2 linked regions of the Canis lupus familiaris genome follow. The protein of the gene in region 1 purifies or fractionates together with the protein of each later gene. This does not show direct contact. Links are inferred from orthologs where the notes say so. Each region holds a gene or a part of one and is shown in the gene's direction. Other genes may lie near its edges.

Evidence for each region.
Region 2: the proteins of MMS19 (region 1) and BRIP1 purify together in Homo sapiens (affinity purification with western blotting; 3 studies listed by BioGRID and IntAct, with this or other methods). This does not show direct contact. The link is inferred for Canis lupus familiaris from reciprocal best matches to the Homo sapiens genes MMS19 and BRIP1.

The regions. Positions count from the first base shown.
Region 1 is NC_049249.1:10,963,165-10,971,177, reverse strand, and holds the start of MMS19 (MMS19 nucleotide excision repair protein homolog), read left to right. Parts: upstream 1-3,222; 5' UTR 3,223-3,269; coding exon 3,270-3,381; intron 3,382-6,869; exon of another isoform or gene 6,870-6,957; intron 6,958-7,573; exon of another isoform or gene 7,574-7,650; coding exon of another isoform or gene 7,651-7,657; intron 7,658-8,013. Other genes in the region: UBTD1 (ubiquitin domain-containing protein 1), read right to left, coding at 2,324-2,393. UniProt on the Homo sapiens protein: Key component of the cytosolic iron-sulfur protein assembly (CIA) complex, a multiprotein complex that mediates the incorporation of iron-sulfur cluster into apoproteins specifically involved in DNA metabolism and genomic integrity.
Region 2 is NC_049230.1:34,941,016-34,948,538, forward strand, and holds part of BRIP1 (Fanconi anemia group J protein), read left to right. Parts: intron 1-2,097; coding exon 2,098-2,421; intron 2,422-6,267; coding exon 6,268-7,016; 3' UTR 7,017-7,523. UniProt on the Homo sapiens protein: DNA-dependent ATPase and 5'-3' DNA helicase required for the maintenance of chromosomal stability. Acts late in the Fanconi anemia pathway, after FANCD2 ubiquitination.

The DNA.
Region 1 (8,013 bases):
TAAGGGGAAAATGGCAATGGAGCAAACACTGGTGGCCTTAATAAAGGGAAAAGAAAAAAAATCATGCCTTTAAAAAGGACCCGACCAAACTGGACAGCCTTGAAAGTTAAAGTTCCTACAGAAGCGGAGAAGTGCAAAAAGATTTCTAAACAGGCATGTGGCTGGCTCAGCCAGTAGAGCACGCAACTCTTAATCTTGCAGTTGTGAGTTCGAGCCCCATTCTGGGTGTAGAATTTACTTTAAAAAAAAAAAAAAAGTTTCTGTTTAAAAAAAAGATTTCTAAACATAGAATTATAGGATTCAAAAAAAGTTAATTTGACAAACATCTTCTGGGGGTAGGGTGGTAGGGTGCACAGTGTGCAGACATCAGATGAGTGACCGAAGATGAACTTGCTTTTGGTGGGGAACTAACTTTAGCCAGGGAGGTGGGGTAGACTTGAGATGACAAGGGAGTGAAGCAGAGTGGAAGGAGCAGGTTTGTATGGCTTCCCAAGGAAGAACCAGCAGGTCGCAGTGGCTGACTGGCTGAGAGGCAGAGAAAGCCAGCAGAGAGACATCTCCAAAGTATGACGTTAGGCAGCTTCAAGAATGGAAGAGTAAAGGGAAGCTGGCTGAAGGGAGAGATGCAGAGCTTGGTTTTAGAAGTGCTGACTCTAATGATAACTATATCAGCGTGTCCAGTGGGCTTTTACTGATGTGAGTCTGGAATTTGACAGGTAATAGCTGAAGATACAGTATAGGGGTCTCCCCCAGTGGACAGAGTTGTGGGACTGAGTATGATTTCTCTGGGAAGGTGTATGGGGGGTGGGGGGAGTCAAGCTGAACCATGGGTGTGCGCACATCTAGGACGCGATGTGATCGTGAACAGTGATCAGAGGAAAAAAGCAGGATAGTCTAATGCCAAGAAGGGAAGAGCTTCAAGCACGAGAGGATCGGCACCAGCGAAAAATGCTACAAAATCAATCATGTGGACTGAGCACATAAATAATAAGTATTTGGCGGGCAAATGAATGAATGAACGAAGGAAAGCCCTTGGGTTTGAGAATCAACTTTCCTCAGTCAGAATGGCCAGGGTTGCCAAAAGGTTTTTTTCAATGTTAAATTTTACCTCGTCCCTCCACCCCCCGAAAAACATTTTTCTTCTTCCACAAGTCATCCTGTCCACCACACAGACATCCTTCTCTGCTTCCCGCACATTTGCCCTCATCTTCCTTCCCAGTTTCCACAACCCAAGCAACACACCTTCAGTGTCAAAGGAGGCCGGAAATTCCAACTAGAGTTTCCACTTCATTAACAACCATGGCTGTGGCCCCTCTTACATAAAGGGATATGTGGCAACTGGGTGGATGAGGAGACTGCGTAGTAGCCCCAGCTGCACTGCTAACTCGCTGTGTGGCTTTGGGCAAGTGGTTTAACCTCTCTGGATCTGGGCTTCTACACAGACAGGAGGAGGAGTTAGGTCTATCTGGACTCCAGACGAGTTTGAAGGTCCCTTTCAACTCTGAAGTATACGATTTTTATCATTCTCAGAAGGTCCTTGCAACACCCTCCGAGAAGGAAGTGAGTACAAGACCCGGGGAAACGAACGCCAGACCTCTTCCCAGGGCGAAGCGCCAGTATAGGAGGAGTGTACCGAGAAAGTGAGAAGGCGCTGCCCAGCCCCTGCGGATCACCAGGGAGCAGATCCCATCCCCAGGCTGGGAAGGATCCCAGCAACCCCCAGCGATTCCCACCCCGCACCCCACCTTCTCTAGACTCCAGACAGCCGGGAGGCTCTAAAAAGCCTTGCGGGAGAAATAAAGATTTCTTTCCCAGAGTCCTGCGCTGCTTTTGCCAGTTGGATTCCGGCAGACACGATCTGCAGCCGGATAATGACACAGACAGTCTTCGGAAAAGCGACAGTTCTCGCTCGCTCCGAGTGCTGGGGACGCTGGCTCCCCGCGCCGTGCCCCGACGGGCCAGCCTCCGACCCCAGCCCGGCTGCCAGGCCAGCGGCGCCCCCGTCCCGGGCCCCGCTCCTCTCCGCCGGCCCCGCCGCGGTCTGCAAACATTTCCTGCCCCCGCCCCCGCCCCCGCCCCCGCCCCCCCTCGGAGCTTCCCAGTTGGAGCGAGTTGGGCTCGCAGCCGGGTCAGGGCTCGCAGTTGCCCCAACTCCGCTCCCCCCGCCACCAGGGCTGGGGAGCGGGCCCCCGTCTGGCTACGTAGCAGCCACTGGGAGACCCAGGCGCCGGGAGCCGTGGGAGGTCGCTTGGGCGGCCCGGGGCTGAGGCGAGGAGGGGGACAACTGGCGAGGCGCGTGGCCCCGCTCCCTCCCTCTCGTTACCTGCTCGCTTGCGGGGGTGTCCCGGGGCGGCCGGCCTCTCCCGGCGCTGTCTCCCCACGCAGTTGCCCATGCTGGCTCTTCAGCCGGGCCCCATGCACGGGAGGCGGCGGGCTTGTCGGCGGCTCGGAGCTCCTGTCCCGGACCGCGGCGTCCCGGGTCAACGGCTCCCGCCTCCCAACATCGGGCGCTCCCGGATCTCCCCCCGGGGGCGCGCTCGGCCCGGGCGCCGGCTTCGCCACAAACTTTGCGGGCGAGGGGAGAGGGAGGTGGCCGATTCCTCAGCACAGTCCCAGGTGGCCGGGCCAGGGGGGCCCGCGACGGTGCCCGGCCGGAGACCAGCTCCGCTGGAGGGGCGGAGAGAGGGGGCGGGCACCGCCGCAGCTACTCCCTGCTAGCTCGGGGCTCCCAGCTGGGGCCGGCCCCCCAGAGGCTGTCACTCACCTGCCTAACCCCGCCCCAGCCCGGCCCAGCTCCCCGCCGCCCGCCCGCGGTGCCCGCGCCTCCGCCGCCGCCCGCCCCAGGTGCGCATGTGACCGGCGGCACCGCCCCCTCGGACCGGGCCTGGTTTTCTCATTGGCTTCCTCCAGGTGTGTACCGCCCCCTGGCCCCACCCGGCCAGGTGACCGGCCAGGTGACCGCCCAGCCGCCCGTCTCCCGGGTAGCCGGGCCGGGAATCATTCGCCCTCAACGGCCCCCGGCTGCGTGCCCGGCAGCCGCCTCCCCGGCCCGCGCCACCGCCCAGGCCCCAAGCCCCGCCCCCCAGGGAGGGACCGTCCCAGCCCTCCCTGGAGCTGGAGCTGCCTGGCCGGGGGCCGGCAGGCACGTGATCCACGGACAGCCCCGCCTCTTTCGCCTTCGCCAGGCGATTGGCCCAGGGGGCGCGTGCGCTCAGAGGCCCGTCCCGTGCCGCCGCCCACTTCCCCTCCCGCGGTCTCTGGTTCGCGTCATGGCCGCCGCCGCCGCTCTGGAGGCGGTGGCGCCTACGGGCGCGCTGTGGGGCCTCGTGCACGACTTCGTCATGGGTCAGCAGGAGGGCCCCGCTGACCAAGTGGCTGCAGGTACGGCGGACGGCGCCGCGCGGCTTCCGCATGGGGCGGACCAGAGGGAGCGGCCTCAGGACGGCCGCCGGGCAGGAAGGGAGTGAGGGACGGCGGTGACTTTGAGAGATTGGTCTGGGGCTGGTTGTGAACACCGCGTGCTTGGGAGTCGCTTGCATCCTCCTTCAGGCGCCTCCACGCTCCTCATCTCGGCAGTCACTCTGCGCCAGCTGGGGTTAGAGTCCTCACCGGGGCGCAGATGAGGAGACTGGAGCCGGGAAAGGGCGAGAGTCGCACATCTGGCAGGAGGGGGGGGCAGGCTGGGACTCAGACTCGGGCCGTCCAGCCCAGAACCTGGTTCTCCCGCCGCGAAACCACGTCGTCTGGCGGAGGTTAACGTGAGAAGCAGCGTCTTCGGCGGCGTCAGCCGGAGTCCCGCGGCATGTTGGGAGTGGCCGCGCGGCGCGGCCTCTGACTGGCTGACTTGGAGAGAGGAGGGGAGAAGCCATCGGGGTGGGGGTGGGGGTGGGGGTGGGGGTGGGGGTGAGGGGAGGGTTTGAGACGTCCCGCGGACGCCCCTTAAGACGTTCTATCTCGTTTCTTGGTAAAGTTCTTGGTTAAGTTGCTTCATGACTTTTTTTATGTGGTGTTTGTTTTTATCTTTCCCCCAGATCATCAGTTTCCCGCTTTTGACCAGTTCAGGGACCTCATAGTTCTCACGGCTTATCTAAGATTTGAATAAAACAAATTCCAGATTTCCTTGGGAGTCAGAGACTTCAGTCTTTCAGAAAAAAAGAAAACGTTGAGTGTTAGGAGGCGTTCAGACTTAAGTAATGGAATACGAAATCTCTTGAATACAAATGAGTTTTGTCTCTGGAGATTTTGTGTGCTTGGGAAAAAGTAAAAGACCTTGCTTTTGAAAATTGAACATATTAAAAAAGAAAACTGAACATATTAACTTTTAGAATATGTGAGAAATGAATAAAGTGAATGTGAGAAAGTATACAGTGAACCTTAGCAGTTCCACTTTCATGCAGTCATCCCACCATTGTTGAACACATACTATTCTCCAAACACGATACAAAGCAATAGGAATATAAATACAGATTAGACTAGATCTGTGCCCACCAGGAACTTCTATTGTGGTGGGAGAGACAACCATGCAAACAGTTTTACCACACCATAAAATGGGCTGTATGGGGTATGTGCAAGGTGGCAAGGAAGCATCAAAGAGCAAAAGCCTGATGCTGTTATGCAACCAAATTTAACTTCTTACAGCTTTATAAAGTATAGTGTGTTATCAATGCCATTTCCCTCAGTGTTTTTTATTATGAAAAATTTCTGGGACGCCTGGGTGGCTCAGCAGTTGAGCCTCTGCCCTCGGCTCAGGGCACGATCCCGGGGTCTTGGGGTCGAGTCCCACATAGGGCTCTTTGCGTGGAGTCTGCTTCTCCCTCTGCCTGTGTATTGGCCTCATGCTCTCTCTCTGTGTCTCTCATGAATAAGTATTTTTTGAAAAAGAAAAATGTCAAACAAAGAGAATTTTGCAACAGGCAGATCTACACACACCACCTAAACTACCATTAACATTTTTTTTTTAAGATTTTATTTATTCATGAGAGATGCAGAGAGAGAGGCAGAGACACAGGCAATGGGAGAAGCAGGCTCCCTGCAAGGAGCCTGGTGCAGGACTGGATCCTCGGATCCGGGATCACACCCTGAGCTGAAAGACGTTCAGCTGTTCAACTGCTGAGCCACCCAGGCGTCCCATTAACAGTTTAACTTGCTTTATGGAGTATCTTTCCATCTATTTAAATTGCAGATATCAGTACACTTCCTCCTACATGCTTTGGTAGGCATATTATTAACTAGTTTGTTTATAGCTTATTTTGGTGTACAGTTTATATTCAGTGAAGTGTACAATCTTAAGTGTGACGTTCACTGATTTTGGAAAATGCACATGCCTACCCCCTACTGTTATATCAGTGCCATTTGTAACTATTCTTTCACAATTTATACATTATGAACAATAATTTTGGATTTTTCAAATTCAAAATACACTTGAGAAGACAGCATGGATAAGGACTGCCAAGTTCTTAGAAATACTTTTGTAAAAAAAAAAAAAAAAAAGAAAGAAATACTTCTGTAAAATTTATATTTTTTATGCCTGAAAAAAAATGGCCTAAACTACTGTCTAGTTTAAATTTTACTCAGCTCAACCAAGACTGTTAACACTACTCTTGTAATTTAGCGCTCCTGAATAGGAAAGGAGGTTGGTAGTAACAGGTTAGGATGAAAAGTTTTGGTGAGATAGGATTATGCATAACCTTGGATTCCAGACCTATTGTGTAGGTAATAGAAATCATTGTAGATCCTTGAGCAAGGGAGTCATATAATGAAAGTGAATTTGAGAAGGATTGAATTGGGTATTCTCAATCTGAGATCACAGCCCTAGTTAAGGTTTTGAAGGCTGATAGAGTTTTGAAGCATTCCCAGAATAAGATCTGCTTTCTAGTCCAGCCTGAGTCTAGCTTTGTTAGAGCTAAAGGGACCAGCTTTCTATTCAGCCACTTACAGCAGCAGCCTGTCCTACAAATTGTAAATGCAGAAGGAATACCCTGTGATCACAAAGGCAGCTATGACCGACCTTTAATTTGCACCTTGGCACTGGGGTTTCTGATGAAAGAAGAAAGGTGTCAGATATAAAGGTGCAAGTGATAGAAGAGAAATGACCCAGTAGGCTAAGGGTTAAAGACTTTTCAAAAAATAAAAATAAAAAAATAAAATAAATTAAAAAAAAAAAATAAAAGACTTTTCATACTAGAAGTTGCCACTATCTGGCCCCAGCCCTTACTCTTACCAGTCCCTTCCTGGACCTTAAGTGACAGGTGGCTGCCACATTTGCTATTCTCTCAGTGCTTTCCTTCCCAGTTCCTTTCACGATTTACATCTCATCAAAGTTAGACCTTGGATTCAAGGCCCAGCTTGAGTTCTCACTGCCTGCCCCCTAAGTGTTTCCTGATTACTCCAGCCAGACATCATCTCACACTTCAAAATATTTGTGGTATTTTTTTCTCAACCAGTCATTTATTAGACTTGTTAATAACCCCTCACTTAGTAGACTTGTTCAGTAGCTATTTCTGTGTATCTCTCCACATCCTATCATCCTGTGCCTGCCAACCAAGTCACCTGGAGACTAGCATAAGTCAGTATGCAGTAAAAAACTATCTAAGTGAATGGAATGAGAGATGTTGAAGGAGGAATCTGTGGAATTTGAGGCCTAACTAATTACAGGGCTTGAAGGAGAGGGAGGACTCTAAGATGACCCTAAGCTTTTGAGCCTGGGGATGAGCAAAAGAAAAGTTCTTTGTCCAAAAATGGATTTAGGGAGGAAGCTGATTTTGAAAAGAGTGAATTTTGGCCAGTTGATGGATATAAACTTTCTTTCTTTCAGTTATTTGGATTTTTCTTCATTTTGGTCTTTATTGTATTATATTTTCCCACTTTAGTGTGCGACCACTATTCCTGAAACCAAAAGATTGTTAAACAGCAGTAAAACAGTTCTGAGAAAAGTCTGTGGCATCCTCAGCAGAAAAGGTATTTTGAGAGCTTGATTAGAACGGGGTCCTGATTGGGATTTTTCTCTCTCCTGCTCCTTCACATCCTTCCCCCTTCCTTCATTGGCTATTCCTCCAGATTCTCAAGAGGCTGCAGCTCCATCAGACAGAGGTCTGATTGTGCATTCTGTCAGTCTAATATAAATACTTCTTTGAGGACTCCTCTGTACTCCACATGAACTGGTGCCCTGCTGAGAGAAGTGTGGGTAGTTAGAAGGTGCTGGTAGGTCCATTTTTAGAGAGTAAATCTTGGACACACTGGAAAAACTTAGGTCTACTGATGTAGGGAGAGGAACTTACACTTGTTTTTCCTTAATGCCAATGAGACTACTTTTAGGAAAATTAACTCCTTACCTTCTTTTATCCCAAGAGTCCGAGTGCATAATTAACAATACTGCTAGATATTCAGGTATATTTTGTTTGGTAGAATTTATAGTGTTAAGAGAATGAATTACTTAAAGTTAGTGATGGATGGTTCATAAACCCAGGAATTTTGCTCCTTTGTTATGCTAATTCAGTCTGTTTATATCACTATGGTAACCCTGAGCTTGTTGCTCTGTGATTGTTTTAAATGTCTTTCTGCCCCAACAGACTGGGCTCCTTAAGAGTTCTTCCTCTATATTCCTGTCTCCAGGCCTAACCCAGTACCTGATTTATAATAGGTGCTGAATAAATGTTGAGTGAGTAAATGAAAACAAATATTCAGGGGATCCCTGGGTGGCTCAGCGGTTAAGTGTCTATTTTTGGCCCAGGGCGGGATCCTGGAGCCCGGGGATTGAGTCCCAAGTTGGGCTCCCGGCAGGGAGCCTGTCTCTCCCTCTGCCTGTGTCTCTGCCTCTCTCTATGTCTATCATAAATAAAATATTAAAAAAAAAAAGAAAACAAATATTCATGACAATTTTGTTGAAGAATTAGGGAGACACACAAAAGGGGGTGATTTGGTTTTGGGAATCAAGAAGGGCTTCACAAAAGTTGACATTTGAGCTGGATCTTGAAGAATTGAATTTTGACAAGGGCAGAGAGGAAGCATTTCAAA
Region 2 (7,523 bases), on another chromosome or scaffold:
AAGTGCTTTATTAGTCTTTTCTGCCCTTTCCATGTAAAGCAAGCCATTGTGCTTAGGTCCAGATATAACTAAAAGAAAAATGTTAAGTGCTTATGTTTAGTCAGCAGATGGAGCTCAGAGTCTTTGTGTTTTCAAAAGCAAATGGACATTTTGCACCAAAAAGGCTTTCTTTGATTACAGAAAGTTCCAAACATGAAAGAAGTTTATAACTAAAAATTGTCCATTTTAGAAAGTTTCTTGTTTAATTGTTATAATTATTTTCCAAGTTAACAAAAATAAAGAACTTTAAGGGAAATGTTTATTTAAAATGTGCTTCTAGGGCTACCTGACTGGCTCAGTAGATAGAACATGTGACTCTTGATCTTGGGATTGTAAATTTGAGCCCCCCATGTTGGATGTGGAGATTACTTAAAAATAAAATCATTAAAAAATTAAAAATTAAAATATTATTCTTGCCAACTATACTTCAACTAAAAAATGCAAAATATGAAAAAAAGTTTTTCTTATTTTAAAATCTTGAAGTTAAATTTTTATCTGATCAAATTTGATTTTTTTAAAAATTGTATTTTTTTAGTCTGTATAGCCAATGTGAGGCTCGAACTTAAAATCCCAAGATCAAGAGTTGCATACTCCACTTACTGAGCCAGCTAAGCATCCCTGACAGATTTTAAATGAAGAATTTTTCATTATTTTTGTATGGTTTTTATTTATTTTTTCTGAGATTCATAAAAATTTGAAGTCTTCTTATCGAGACAGTAATAGCACAACATACAAATTCCTTTTGATTTCTAGTCTTTGTTTAAATTCAGCTTGTAGGGACGCCTGGGTGGCTGAGCAGTTGAGTGTCTGTCTTTGGCTCAGGTCGTGATTCCGGGATCGAGTTCCATATCAGGTTCCCTGTGAGGAGTCTGCTTCTCCCTCTGCCTGTGTCTCTCCCTCTTTCTGTGTCTCTCATGAATAAATAAATAAAATCTTTTTTTTAAAAAATTCAGTTTGTATTAACTATAGAACTCCATTTGATTTGCATTAAATATAGAAAAGCTCCATTAAAAAAAAAAATACTAAAGGGGAATGTATTTGAAATGAATGAATTACAACTTGAAACTTGAAGCCCTGTCTTACTTTTCTTCTAACTTAAAATACCATAGTGACTTTTTAAACTACTTCAGAAGATGATGATAGTTTTAGTAATACCAACCAGCAGAGAATATTTATTTTTTAGAAATCCAAATGTCTGATTTTGAATTTCGTTCTGAAATTAAACAAAACACTTATACTTTTATGTGGTTCAAGTTTATACATTACTCGCATGTCACAGGTCAAATCCTATCCCTTATAACTTGGTTATTTATATATTAAAAAAGAATTATGTAATAAATATACAAACAGGACATGATTTGTCCCTAATAACATTGTTATTCTTTTCATTCCCTGGATAGTTTAAGACATTTGGAATTGGGGGAGAAGAGCAACAAAAAAGGAATCTTGAATTTATTTTTGTGAAGGAAGTCAAAGTTAGAAAGTTGGAATGGAAGACTGTTGATTGTTGTTTACAACTTTTAGTTTCCTTAAAATTAAAGAGCAGGCATTATTTGTGGAAAATTATGATGAAATTAAATTTGCCTTATTTCCCCAGTTATCCTAAACTGACAAATAATACATTTCCCCCTCTGCCTCTTCCCTCCCTCCAGTTGATAATCACTGCACATAAAGAAAAATGTTACTGATACATGAGCAGAGTATACATGTGAAGATGTTTAGGCAGGAAAAATACTGAGAATCATTCTATATACCCTAAATTCATGTGGATTACTTCATTAGAAAAATGATCTAAGTGTTTTCTTAATACATATTTTTTAAGATTTTATTTATTTATTCATAAGAGACACAGAAAGAGGCAGAGACATAGACAGAGGGATAAGTAGGCTTCCTGTGTAGAGCCCCCCAATGCTGGACCTGATTGCAGGACCCAGGATCATGACTTGAGTGAGCCAAAGGCAGATGCTCAACCACTGAGCCACCCAGGTGCCCCAAAACATAATAGCTTAAGAAACTAAATAACTACAGTTTCTTCCTTGGGTTTACTTTTTTCCTTAGGACTTTCCAAATGGATACGGCAGCAGATTCAGCACCATTCAACCTTTGAAAGTGCACTGGAGTCCTTGTCTGATTTTTCCAGAAAGCACCAAAAGGTCATTAATGTATCCAAAGAGGACAGAAAGTTTACACAAGACAGTGAGTCTATACTTGAAGTGACCTGTTTGAAGGACAATACATTAACTTACTTAGAAGCAGCAAGTCCTCTAATACCAGAAAATCCTAGGAAAGGTGAAGCAAAAATACGTGTCCAAGAACAACAGTGTCTTACAATAACTGAAAGTCCACCTCTACCAAGAGGCATCATCTCCAAAAAGGAAAAAGGTTTGAAAAGTTTTGCCTATTTACATTTGATAGAGAAGTCTTTCATTATATCCAGTGAAATGATATTTATTGTGCTATAGATTAATTTTTTAAAACACGGTTTGAAATAGAAAGTGTTACCATAAAATAATAAAATAATATGGTGTATTGGAATGGGAACAAACTTTTGTCAAGAGATCTAAGCATAGTTTGTAGTTCTCCACTCACAAGGTTTGCCACCACCTAGCTGTGTGACCTGAGCAAGTCATGTAACTTTTTTGAGTCTTAATAGAAAAAAGAATCTATACACACCTATCTCTTAGGATGGGCTGTAAAGATCTAATAATATGAATATCATGAATATCATGAATAAATATCACAGCATAGTAAAATATACTGTACAAATGGTAGATATTTTTCTAAAAGCTATAATAAAAATTGGTCTATTTATAGATACAAGAGCAGTATTCAAGTAAAAAACATGAATTTCTTAGTTTAGGTAAATATGAGTCATTTATACTAAATGATAAAAAAATAATTGTAAAAAATAGAGGAGTATCTGGGTGGTTCAGTTGATTAAGCATCAGACTCTGGGGGTTTGGGCTCAGGTTATGATCTCAGAGTTGTGAGATTGAGCTCCACATAGGGCTCTGCACTCAGCAAGGAGTCTGCTTGAGATTCTCTCCCTCTCCTCCTGCCCCTCCTCCACTGTGTGGGCTCTCTCTCGTTCTCTCAAATAAATAAATAAATAAATAGGTCTTTAAAAAATATACATATATATATACACACACACATATAAGAATACACACACACACACACACAAGAATAGTCTGTCAAGGATTGACAAACTATGGCTTATGGACCAAATTTGGCCATCTGTTTTCATAAAGCACGTCTAATGGAACATAGTCATGTCTATTCAGTTACGTATGGTACACAACAGCAGAGTTTAGTCATAGTATGTTTTGTACTGGAACAGCATAATTGAGTACATACGTACCTCAGAGATATTGTGGGTTTGGTTCTAGACCACCACGATAAAGCAAGTATCACAATAAAGCAATTCAAGTGAATTTTTTGGTTTCACAGTACATATAAAAGTTATATTTACATTATACTACAATCTCTTAAGTGTACAATAACACTGTCTTTAAAAATAATGTATATACCTTAATTTAAAAATATTTTATTGCTAAAAAATACTAGCCATCTGAGCTTTCAATAAGTCATTATCTTTTTGCTGGTGGAGTGTCATGCCTCAGTTTTGATGGCTACTAACTGATCAGGGTGGTGTTTGCCAAAGGCTGGGGTGATTGCAGCAATTTCTTAAAAAAAAAAAAATACCACATTGAAGTTTGCCACATCAATTGACTCTTCCTTTCATGAATGATTTCTCTACAGCATGCGATACTGTTTTACTTAAAAGTAGAACTTCCTTTCAAAATTGGAGTCTGGGACGCCTACGTGGCTCCGTAGTTGGACCTCTGCCTTCAGCTCAGGGCATGATCCTGGAGTCCTGGGATGGAGTCCACAGTGGGCTCCCTGCATGGAGCCTGCTTCTCCCTCTGCCTGTGTCTCTGCCTCTCTCTGTGTGTCTCTTATGAATAAATAAGTAAAATCTTTAAAACAAAACAAAAAATAAAATTGGAGTCAGTCGTCTCAAACCCTGTTGCTACTTTATTAACTAACTTTAGGTAATATTCTAAGTTCTTTGTAGTCATTTCAAGAATTTTCACAGCATCTTCACTAGGAGTAGCTTTCATCTCAAGAAACCACTTCCTGAAAAAAAAAGAAAAAGAAAAAGAAAGAAAGAAAGAAAGAAAGAAAGAAAGAAAGAAAGAAAGAAAGAAAGAAAGAAAGAAAGAAAGAAAGAAAGAAAGAAAGAAAGAAAACACTTCCTGCTCATGTGTAAGAAGCAATTCCTCTTCCATTGAAGTTTTGTTATGAGACGGCAGAAATTCAATCACGTTTTCAAGCTTCCCTTCTCATTCTAGTTCTCTTGATATTTCTACCACATCTCCACTGAAGTCTTGAATCCCTCAAAGTCATCCATGAGGGTTGGAACCAGCTCCTTCCAAACTCCTCTTAATATTGATATTTTGACCTCTTCCCATGAATCATGAATATTCTTAATGGCATTTAGCATGGTGAATCCTCTCCAGAAGGTTTTCAACTTTTTTTGCCTAGATTCATCAAGGGAATCCCGATCTATGGCAGCTATTGCCTTATAAAAATGTATAATGTATTTCCTTTTTTTTTTTTTTTTGATTTATTTATTTATTTTAGAGAGAGAGAGAGAGAACACGAGCAGGAGAAGCAGAGGGAGAATCACAAGCAGACTTCATGCTGAGCACAGAGCTGGATGCAGTGCTTAATCTCATGACCCTGAGATCATGACCTGAGTTGAAAAAAGTGTCAGACACTTAACTGACTGTGCGACCCAGGTGCCCCCAAAAGTGTATTTCTTAAATAATAAAACCTGAAAGTCAGAATTACTGCTTGATCTATCTTAGTTTCAACATGTCTTTCTCACTAACTGTATCGTTTCTAGCTTTTGATTTAAAGTGAGAGATTTGTGACTCTTCCTTTCACTTGGATGCTTAGAGGCCATTGGAGGATTATTAATTGGCCTAATCTTAATATTGTTATATCTCAGAAAATAGGGAGGCCTTAGGAAAGGGGAAAAAATGGAGGAACAGCTGGTCAGTCAAGCAGTCAGAACACAAACATTTGTCTACCAACTTCACCATCTTACGTGGCTGTGATTTATAGTGCCCCAAATAGTTACAGTAGTAACATCAAAGATCACTGATCGCAGGTGACCACACAAATATAATAATGAAAAAGGTTGAGATATTACAAGAATTACCAAAATGTGATACAGAGACATGAAATGAGCAAATGCTTTTTAAAAACTGTTGCCTCTATGCTTGCTTGATGCAAGGTTGCCACAAACTTTGAATTTGTAAAAAACACATTATTTGCAAAGTACAATAAAGAAGGTATGCCAGGGTGGGAGGGTGGGGGTGACTGGGTGATGGGCACGGAGGGGGGCACTTGATGGGATGAGCACTGGGTGTTATTCTATATGTTGGCAAATTGAACACCAATAAAAAATGAATTTATAAAAAATTTAAAAAACAGGAAGGTATGCCAGTAATATGATCCAGAAAGCCTAAAATCTATACTGTCTGGCCAGTTACAGAAAAAGTTTGCCAAACTGTGATCTGTATCATTGGATATTATTTTAATTGTTTTAACTAATATATGACAATTTAATATATGAAGCATTAAATATTTACTTTGTTGTACCTGTTGGGTTGGGGTTTTTTTGGTTTTTTTGTTTTGTTTTTTTTTTTTAAGTAAATGTCCTAGTGAATTCAAAGCCATTAGACTGGTAATCAGGAAACCTAAGTTCTAGTTTGGGTCTGATTACTAACCAGTTTTATAACTTTAAACAAATAATTTAGTCTTTGTGGTTGCCAGTTTCCTTTAGGGAATTAATCTAGATCAGTTTTTCCCAGTCCTTGGTTAGTGAATTTTTAAGGCAGAGTTTTATAGTGTGTTTCCTCCGTTACTCAGCCCTCTTCCTATTCCTTTTACCCCTCCTTTTTTCATTGACTTCTGAGGTCCCTGGTGTGGAATTTGATAGTTTACCAGACAGCATTATAACTTGGGCTCAGAATCACTGGAGATCTAAGATTCCTTTCAGAGTTCACATTTTGTTCTCTATATTCTAATATGGAAGTCCTGCTGCTATTGGTTGTGGACTTTAAATTAGGATCCTATACAGTTATTTCAGTATTTTTAACAAAAATTACTATATTAGAAGCAGAAAATTAACACTTTTAAATTTTGTATTCGTAGATGATCCTGTATTATCAGAAGAGTTTGCCCAGGCAGTCAAAGCAGAAAAAAATGTGATTTCCAGATCCACAAGCCCAATCTTCAACAAACAAACAAAGCCAGTTAGCTGGTCTAACTTTAATTCTTTGGAACGTTATTTTACTGGTGAAATTCTGACTGCAGGACCTAAGTTCAGGTCACCAGAGGACTGTGCCTCTAGCATTTCCACTTTAGAAACAGAAGAGGGTTATAAAACAGTTTTGCCACTCACTGATAAATGTGAATCCTCATCTCCGATGTTAAATGCATCATGCTCTCAATCAGAAGTCATTTCATCAGTAAAGATTGATTCTACTCTTCTTAAAAGAAATTGTTCCAAACAACTATTTTGCTGTGAAGAAGCCGTGGATCCAGACATTGAATTGTCTCTACTTGGTGAAGAAGCTAAATCTTCCACTTCACATAGAGCTTCTGAAACAGAAGCAGAGGATGAATCTATCTATTTTTCACCTGAGCTTTATGATCCTGCGGATACAAATGAAGAAAAGAATGAACTAGTTGAAAGTGATAGAGACAATAGATTTGTTGATCATTCAAATTGTATTTTAGTTGAAGATCTTTTTGAAATTAGAACTATTAAGGGAGTGGATTCAGTCCAAGAAATGAAAGCTGAGGATTGCACAGTCACAACATTGAATAGACTCATGCATATTAAAGAAAGTAAAATTGATAACATTGATAGTAATATGAAAAAAAACTCATATAAATGAATTGGAACTAGGAAAAACTTGTGAAACAGATATAAAGAACTTTAATCAGTTGCCTTCCAAAAATAAAGGTGTGTTCCTGGTGTTAGATAATAATACTTAACTATAATACTATAAAAATATGTTGTCATGCTTGTATTAAACTCTATTTTAAATGACAACTCCTTCATTGGATAAATGGTATAGTTTTTTTATTTTAAAAATATTTTTCACTTTAATTCTTTGGTATTAGAGGTTTTTAAGTCTTATTTTATGTTTAGAATGTAAGTTTTGTTGTTTTTGAGTTTTGAGAGTGATCCATACAAAATATTTTCTTCTAACAAATTTTCTTTACCTATATACTTAATCTGAAAGATACATAGTTTCCTGAGGCACTTTAAATTTCACATAAATATTTGTATTTTATAGTCCTATTCATCCATTTGTTTTCATACTAATATATAAAAAATGAATAGCAGTCTAATCCAGTCATACCTCAGTCATGTTTTATATATTCACCTCAAATCAGTT